Sus scrofa: one gene and its partner. The protein of the gene in region 2 purifies or fractionates together with the protein of the main gene of each other region. This does not show direct contact. Links are inferred from orthologs where the notes say so. Each region holds a gene or a part of one and is shown on either strand. Other genes may lie near its edges.

Region 1 (3,812 bases), about 30 Mb from region 2:
TGGCGTAGGCCAGTGGCTACAACTCCGATTGGACCCCTAGCCTGGGAACCTCCATATGCCGTGGGAGCGGCCCAAAGAGATAGCAAAAAAAAATAAGCCTTAAGGAGTTCCCCTTGTGGCTCAGTGGCTAACGAATCCGACTAGGAACCATGAGGTTGCAGGTTCGATTCCCTGGCCTTGCTCAGTGGGTTAAGGATCCTGCGTTGCCGTGAACTGTGGTGTAGGTTGCGGATGTGGCTCGGATCCCACGTTGCTGTGGCTCTGGTGTAGACCCCTAGCCTGGGAATCTCCATATGCTGTGGGTGCGGCCCTACAAAAGGCAAAAAGACAAAATAAAATAAAATAAGCATTAAAACCCCGTTTGGCTGCCTGCAAGGAGTGCCTTTGTGAAGATATTTTTCATCTGTCAGTACAAGGTAGGGGTCCTGCATCTCACAGTTGGAAGAGAGAATCACCCCATCCAACCAAATATCCTAGCCAATGTAGGAATCCCAGCTTGTGTCGTCTGGCCTCAGATGTCACCAAAGCAGAGAACCCATTGTTTGGTGAGGTAACCTGATACACTCCGTAGCAGTTCTCATGCCTTCTGATCACGGTTCTAATGCTTTTATCTGGAGCCACGCAGAATACGTTCCCTCCTTCCTCTGTCCACTCTTTTTTGTGCCCTGCTTTGCTTCTTCGTGGTCTGTTCTTTCACCTACTTGTTATTATTATTATTATTTTGGGCTTTTATCTTTTTTTTAGGGCCATACCCACAGCATATGGAGGTTCCCAGGTAAGGAATCCAATCAGAGCTATAGCTGCAGGCCTACACCACAGCCACAGCACACGCAGGATCCCAGCCACATCTGCAACCTACACCAAAGCCAGGGCAACACCGACTCCTTAACCCACTGAGAAAGGCCAGGGATTGAACCTTCATCCTCATGGCTGCTAGTCGGGTTCGTTAACCACTGAGCCACGATGGGGACTCCCTTCTGTCCACTCTTAACAGATAGGTACTTGTCACCTGCTGCCTGCCAGACACTGTGCTCAGTGCTAGGAATACGCTGGGGAAAAGCGACAAAATGCCTGCCCTAAGGGAGCTCATAGTTTGCAAGAATGACCCAGAAAGAGTCCAGGCTCTCCACAGCACATTAGCCCTTCAAACACTTAAAAACAATTCTCATGTTCTTGGGAGACGCAAAGCATGATGAATTTTAATGAGAGAGTGGGGTTGTTGGAAGGATAAGAAATAATTAATGGTTAGGTACATGGCAAATGTTCAGGATTGCTCAGGACATACTTGTTTTTATTGTTCTTCTTTTTCTTTTTAAGGACCTCATGCAGGGCATATGGAGGTTCCCAGGCTAGGGATCTAATTGGAGCTACAGCTGCTGGCCTACACCACAGCCACAGCAGCTCGGGATCCAAGCTGCATCTTCGACCTATACCACAGCTCACGGCAATGCCAGATCCTTAACCCACTGAGCGAGGCCAGGGATCGAACCCGCAACCTCATGGTTCCTAGTCGGATTCATTTCCACTGCACCACAACGGGAACTCCGCTATTATTATTATTATTATTCAGGCCACATTTGACAGAATCTAGTGAAGACTGTGCTGGCTGGTCAAGTGCACCCACACCTAAGAGCAAGGCTATAGTCAATCAAAGCATATTTTAATTTTAAGCAGACAAGCCCCCACACCCTCCGCCCTACTTACTGATATCAATGCAATGGAGATCATCATAGAACTTGTCCCCTGCCAAGCCTCCATGGATGAAGAGCTTTGTCCCCGCTGCCACCATCACATGACCATGCCGGGGGGATGGAGGTTCTCCAAGTGTCTCTGGTTGTGACCAGGTCAGGGTGTCTAGAAAAATAAATTCAGTGACATCAGATGACAAAGCTATGAAGCAAGAACATGAGGAATATAGCCAAGCCACACCTCCCAGCGAGCAGAGAGGCCAGGCACAGAGTGATCTGGGGGTCATTCATTGCAACTTGCCAACTCAACCCAGACCTTCCTCCCTCTACAGCCTTTACAGCCTCTGCTGATCCACTTCCAGGGCTGGAGAATTTACTACTTAATATGCCTGCCCCTTCTACTGGGCATTAAGGAACCACTCTTTGCTTTGAATTAAGAATGGCCCAGAGTTACAAAGAATGAGTCTGCTTTTTCTGGGACAGGCTTTCAGTCTTCTCTTTTTCAAGACAATATCCTTTATTGATTTGCTGGAAGGGTGTGGGGAAAAAAAAAAAGACTACTTTTAAAGTTAGCAGGGCTTTCTGAAGTGGTTGTAGAGGGGTTAGAACATGGGATTTGGAGTTAAAACCGGGTTATTTCGCTGAATAACTATGTGGCCTTGCACCAGTTAATTCTTTAAGCTTCAGTTTCTGCAGCTGCAAAATGGGGGTAAAGACGATCCCTGATAATACCTACCTCTTGGGGTTGAAGTGTGGATTAAATGAGATAATGTACAGAAATCACAGGCGCAAAGAAAGTACTCGATACCCGAGAGTTAGTACTAACATGGTTATGATTCTGACAGTGCAGATGTGTTCTACCCGTTGACAAACCTTCATAGCTTCAAAATCGTACATATACAGAGTTCAGGAAAATCAATCATTTCAACTTATCAGGAAAGTTTCAAAGGAGTGCTACAAAAATTAGCTGAGACAAAGGCATGCCAACAATTTATTGCTGAATTAACATTTGTGGCATGCCAAAAGGTTGTTTGAGGAGCCCCCATTTTTCCAAGGAATATATTTGAGGGAGTTCCCATCGTGGCTCAGCGGTTAGCCACAGCATTTTTGTGGCTGTGGTGTAGGCCAGCAGCTACAGCTGCGATTAGATCCCAAGCCTGGGAACCTTCACATGCTGTGGGTATGGCCCTAAAATGCAAAAAAAAAAAAAAAAAAAAAAAAAAGGAACACAATTTGAAATAATCTGAAAAGTTCTAAGCATAAATAATGTTTCTCCTAGCATTGTTTATAAGAGTAGAAATGGAAGTAGCCTAAGTCCATCAACAGGTGAATGGATTAACTTTAATATATGCATTAAAAACATTGAAAGATTTGTGATTACAGGGGAAATGCTTAAGTGAAAAGTACTGGATACAAATACTACATTTAGAATTATCTCTCTTTTTAAACATACATAGGAGTTCCTGCTGTGACACAATGGTATTGGCGGGGTCTCTGGAACACTAAGACACAGATTCAATCCCTGGTCCAGCTCAGTGGGTGATGGGTCTGCAGCACTGGTCTCAGCTGTGGCTTGTATCTGATCCCTGGCCTGGGAGGGAACTCCATATGCCACAGGGCAGCCAAAAAAAAAATGTAATACAGAAAGTAAATGTCAGGAGTTCCCGTCGTGGCTCGGTGGTGAATGAATCTGACTAGGAACTATGAAGTTGCAGGTTCGATCCCTGGCCTTGCTCAGTGGGTTAAGGATCCAGCGTTGCAATGAGCTGTGGTGTAGGTTGCAGACGCGGCTCAGATCCCACGTTGCTGTGGCCCTGGTGTAGGCTGGCGGCTACAGCTCTGATTAGATCCCTAGCCTGGGAACCTCCATATGCCGTGGGAGCAGCCCTAGAAATGGCAAAAAAAAAAGAAAGTAAATGTCAGATCTGGTCTTCAGACCATGTTACGGGCTTCAAAGTTTATGCTTTCAACTAGTACCAAGATCTATCCTTAGCCCCCCAAAAGTCAGAGGCAGATAAGTATATATATATACATATACATATATATATATACACACACATATATATATGCATATATATACACATACACACACACACACACACACACACACACACACACACATAT
Region 2 (3,912 bases):
ACAGGGTCCTGAGACGGTGCGTGCGCACTCAGGGTGCCGCGCCGCTTTAGAGGCCGGCTGCAGATCCTCCTCTCGCCTGAGGGGGCAGATCGGATTCCTACGTAATGCGGGGCGGTACCTGCCTAGGAGAGTCACACTGATGAGGGCTGGGCCACACCGAGGGGAGGAGTCACGTTGAGAGGAGGGGTCACAATGACGGGTGGAATCGCTCTGAGAGGTGGGGTTCGCCCTGGAAGGGCGAGACGGACAGAGGAGGGGTGTCGCACTGAGGGATTCTGGCACACACTGTTGGCGGCATGGTCACATTGCGGAGATGTTCCTCTGAAGGAGAGACTCTCACTGAGGAAAGAGTTGGTTCTCTGAGGGGGAGGGCTCCTTGAGGGGCGGGGTTTTGCCAAGGGGTGGGATATTTCCCTACAGGTGGAGACTTCTCTTTTGAGAAAGAAGGGCATGTGGACGAAATAGTAAGAGGAGGCTCCAGGCTGTGTGGTCAGTGCGCAGAAGCCCCTGAATCTAAACTTTTTTCGCGAGAGGCGGGATGGAGTGAGCAGGACTTGGGGCCACACCTGGAATGGGCTGGCCAAGGGCTCACTACAGCTCTGGGGCGTCACAACCTCCGGGGAAGGTACAAAGTGTCAGGGAGTCGGAGGTTTAAAGTGTAAGGGTCGAGAGCTGGGAAATGGGCAGGCTCGGCCAGGGCGGAGGCTGGGCAGGTGGGTAGGTTGCTGCCCCGATTGTGGCGGGACCAGAGGGGTCTACTTTTCTACCCTGCCTGTCCATGGAGTCCAGGAGTCCGGCGGCTTCCAGAGCCTGGCCCTCAAAAGACAGAGACCCGAGGGAGGGAGGGGAGAAAGGGCTCTCACGGCAGCTAAAAGACCTTTGAGCTGCGCATACGCACAATGAGCCATTAATTCCCTTCCGTTATTTAGCTTTGGCTTTAACTTCTTTGACCCCGACTTCTCAGACCCACTAGCCTAGGGCGTCCCGGCCACTGGTGGCGGGGTGCGCACCTGAGGGGGCGTGGCCGCTGCCCCGAGGCGGGCTCGAAGGAGTTAAGCAGAGGCCCGGCTCAGCCCCGCCCCCGGCAGGCCGCGGAGCCTGAGCCCCAGCGGCGAAGTGGAGCAGCCGCCGCCCGCCCGCCCGCCCGCCTCCGCCTGCGGGGAGTACCCCCGCCTGCCCGCCGGCGCCCGGGAGCGCCACCGCCACCGCCCGGCCCAGGCCCAGGCCCAGGCCCTGCGCAGAGCCGAGCGGAGCGGCGTCCACCCGGGCGCAGCAAGCCGGCGCGGCGGGGGCGGGCCCAGGAGCTTCGGCAGATCTTCCATTCTCCAGGGCGGGAGAGGGAGTGGGAGCTCCGGCGCCCCGGATCCGGCTGGGCCCGCACCCATGGCGAGCGCGGCCTGCCCGGGCCCCGGGAACCCTGCCATGTGAGGCAGGCCCGGGCTGGGGGGCCCGGCCATGGCCGGGGAACGGCCCCCACTGCGGGGCCCTGGGCCCGGGCCCGGGCCCGGAGAGGCGCCGGGGGAGGGGCCCCCGGGGCCGGGGGGCGCGGGCGGAGGCCCGGGCCGGGGCCGCCCCTCCTCCTACCGGGCTCTCCGCAGCGCGGTGTCCAGCTTGGCACGCGTGGACGATTTCCACTGCGCGGAGAAGATCGGGGCCGGCTTCTTCTCTGAGGTCTACAAGGTAGGACCAGCAGAGAGGGCAGAGGGGCGGGACCGAGCCTTAGACGCGAGGCTGGGACAAGGGGGCCCAGACCCTGGCGTTTCGCCCGACCTGCGCGGGACTCGCCAGCCCCTGCTGCCCCCAGGTTCGGCACCGACAGTCAGGGCAAGTCATGGTGCTGAAAATGAACAGACTCCCCAGTAACCGGGGAAACACGCTACGGGAGGTGCAGCTGATGAACCGACTTCGGCACCCCAACATCCTAAGGTGAGCGGCCCCAACCGCTTGCTGGGGGAGGGGGAAAGATCCCGCGGGAAAAGTGGGAACTGTCCAGGGGCCGGGACTCTTCCAGACTACCTTGCTGTCTTTCCCATCCTCTTCCAGGTTCATGGGGGTCTGTGTGCACCAGGGACAGCTGCATGCTCTTACAGAGGTGAGGATGAACCAGCAAGGGGGGACCCCACCACCAAGGGGCGAGTCAGCGGCCTGGTGCATCTACAGACGAATAATGAGGGGCAGCAGGACGTCCTCCCAGGGGAGGCTTTCCTGAACTTCCCTTTAGGCAAACCACAAATAAAAGGCCTCAGCTGGTCCCGTCCTTTATATCCTCTAGAACGGTGCTGTCCAATAGATCTTCCTGCAAAGATGAAAATGTTCTATATCTGCGCTGTCCAAAACCACAGCCACTAGCCACATGTGGCTAAGGATCCCTGGGAATGTGGCTAGTGTGACTGAGGAACTGAATGTTCCATTTTGTTTAAATTTAAATAGTTGTGCGTGTGTATGGGACAGGACAGGCTCAGGATATGAATGGAGGAGCCCTAGAGCAGACTCACCCTCCTGACTTTGTGATCCTCCTGGGTCCCCTGGCTTAAAAGTGGGAGACCTAGGCTACTGACTGAAATCTTGACATTCATTCCCCTTCTCCTACCCCTGTGACCCAGTATATGAATGGGGGGACTCTGGAACAGCTGCTCAGCTCCCCTGAACCCCTATCCTGGCCTGTCAGGCTCCGCCTGGCTTTGGACATCGCCCGGGGCCTGCGGTACCTGCATGCCAAAGGTGTATTCCATCGAGACCTCACCTCCAAGGTAGGCTGGCCAGGTGGGTGGGGGCATGAAAGGAGATTTGAGATTTATTAGATTGTAACTAGCCCATGAATATTAGAGTGTGGGTAATAGACATCAGGATGTTGGAGTAGCAAGACATTGGAAAGAGGGGAGGACTGGGATGAGGGGGAGTGCTCTGAGGGACTGAGTATCGTGCTGTTTCTGGAGTGATGGATGACGTTGAAAGATGGGGGAGCATTGGCAAACTGGAAGATTAGAGAGGGCTGGGATTATTCTGAAGTGACAGGTCTTTGGGGCGTATATTGGGAGATCAGAGAACCGAACGTGATGGGCATGTATGGATGCGATATGTGTATCTCAGAACTGTCTGATCCGACGCGAAGACCGAGGCTTCACAGCAGTCGTGGGTGACTTCGGGCTGGCCGAAAAGATTCCTGTGTATAGGTGAGGTGAATGCCCCACCCACTAAACCTCCCAGAAGGCTCCAATCTAAGTGAAGCCCACAGGGACATTTCCCTTGGGGTGGGGTGGGGGCTGACCTCATCCCCTTTCATTTGGGAAGGTGTCTGGGTGGGATGTTCCTGGCCACTCAGCCTCTGCCCCTGCCCTTACAGGGAAGGGGCAAGGAAGGAGCCTTTGGCTGTGGTGGGTTCTCCATACTGGATGGCTCCAGAGGTGTTGCGGGGTGAGCTGTATGATGAGAAGGTAAGATATAGGACTTCAGGAGACCCTTGAGATACTCTTATAAGGCCTCATCCCAAGTTCTGCAGCAATCCTACCGGATGTTTAGGAGATGCCCAAGATCCCCCTGACCCCTCACAGGCACCCTCTCCAACACATGAAAACTGGCAAGACTCCCCTGATTTCTGACTTGACATGAAACTATCTTTGCCTCCCCCTGACATTCTCTTCTACCCCTAGGCTGATGTTTTTGCCTTTGGGATTGTCCTCTGTGAGCTCATCGCAAGAGTACCTGCGGACCCTGACTACCTACCCCGTACTGAGGTGAATGATGTCTCCAAGTTTAAAAAAAGAAACTCTAGGAGTGGTGCTGTGGTGCAATTAAGGATCCGGTGCTGTCTCTGCAGTGGCTCTGGTCGCTGCAGAGGCTCGGGTTTGATCCCCAGCCTGGTGTAGTATGTTAAGGATCTGGTGTTGCTGCTGCTGTGGCATAGGTCACAGC

The links.
Region 1: the proteins of TESK1 (region 2) and RABEPK purify together in Homo sapiens (affinity purification with mass spectrometry; 3 studies listed by BioGRID and IntAct, with this or other methods). This does not show direct contact. The link is inferred for Sus scrofa from reciprocal best matches to the Homo sapiens genes TESK1 and RABEPK.

Annotation. Positions count from the first base shown.
Region 1 is NC_010443.5:265,922,123-265,925,934, reverse strand, and holds part of RABEPK (rab9 effector protein with kelch motifs), read right to left. Parts: intron 1,855-3,812; coding exon 1,705-1,854; intron 1-1,704. UniProt on the Homo sapiens protein: Rab9 effector required for endosome to trans-Golgi network (TGN) transport.
Region 2 is NC_010443.5:236,340,005-236,343,916, forward strand, and holds the start of TESK1 (dual specificity testis-specific protein kinase 1), read left to right. Parts: upstream 1-1,155; 5' UTR 1,156-1,455; coding exon 1,456-1,680; intron 1,681-1,788; exon of another isoform or gene 1,789-1,804; coding exon 1,805-1,926; intron 1,927-2,043; coding exon 2,044-2,092; intron 2,093-2,603; coding exon 2,604-2,750; intron 2,751-3,090; coding exon 3,091-3,173; intron 3,174-3,343; coding exon 3,344-3,434; intron 3,435-3,650; coding exon 3,651-3,734; intron 3,735-3,912. UniProt on the Homo sapiens protein: Dual specificity protein kinase activity catalyzing autophosphorylation and phosphorylation of exogenous substrates on both serine/threonine and tyrosine residues.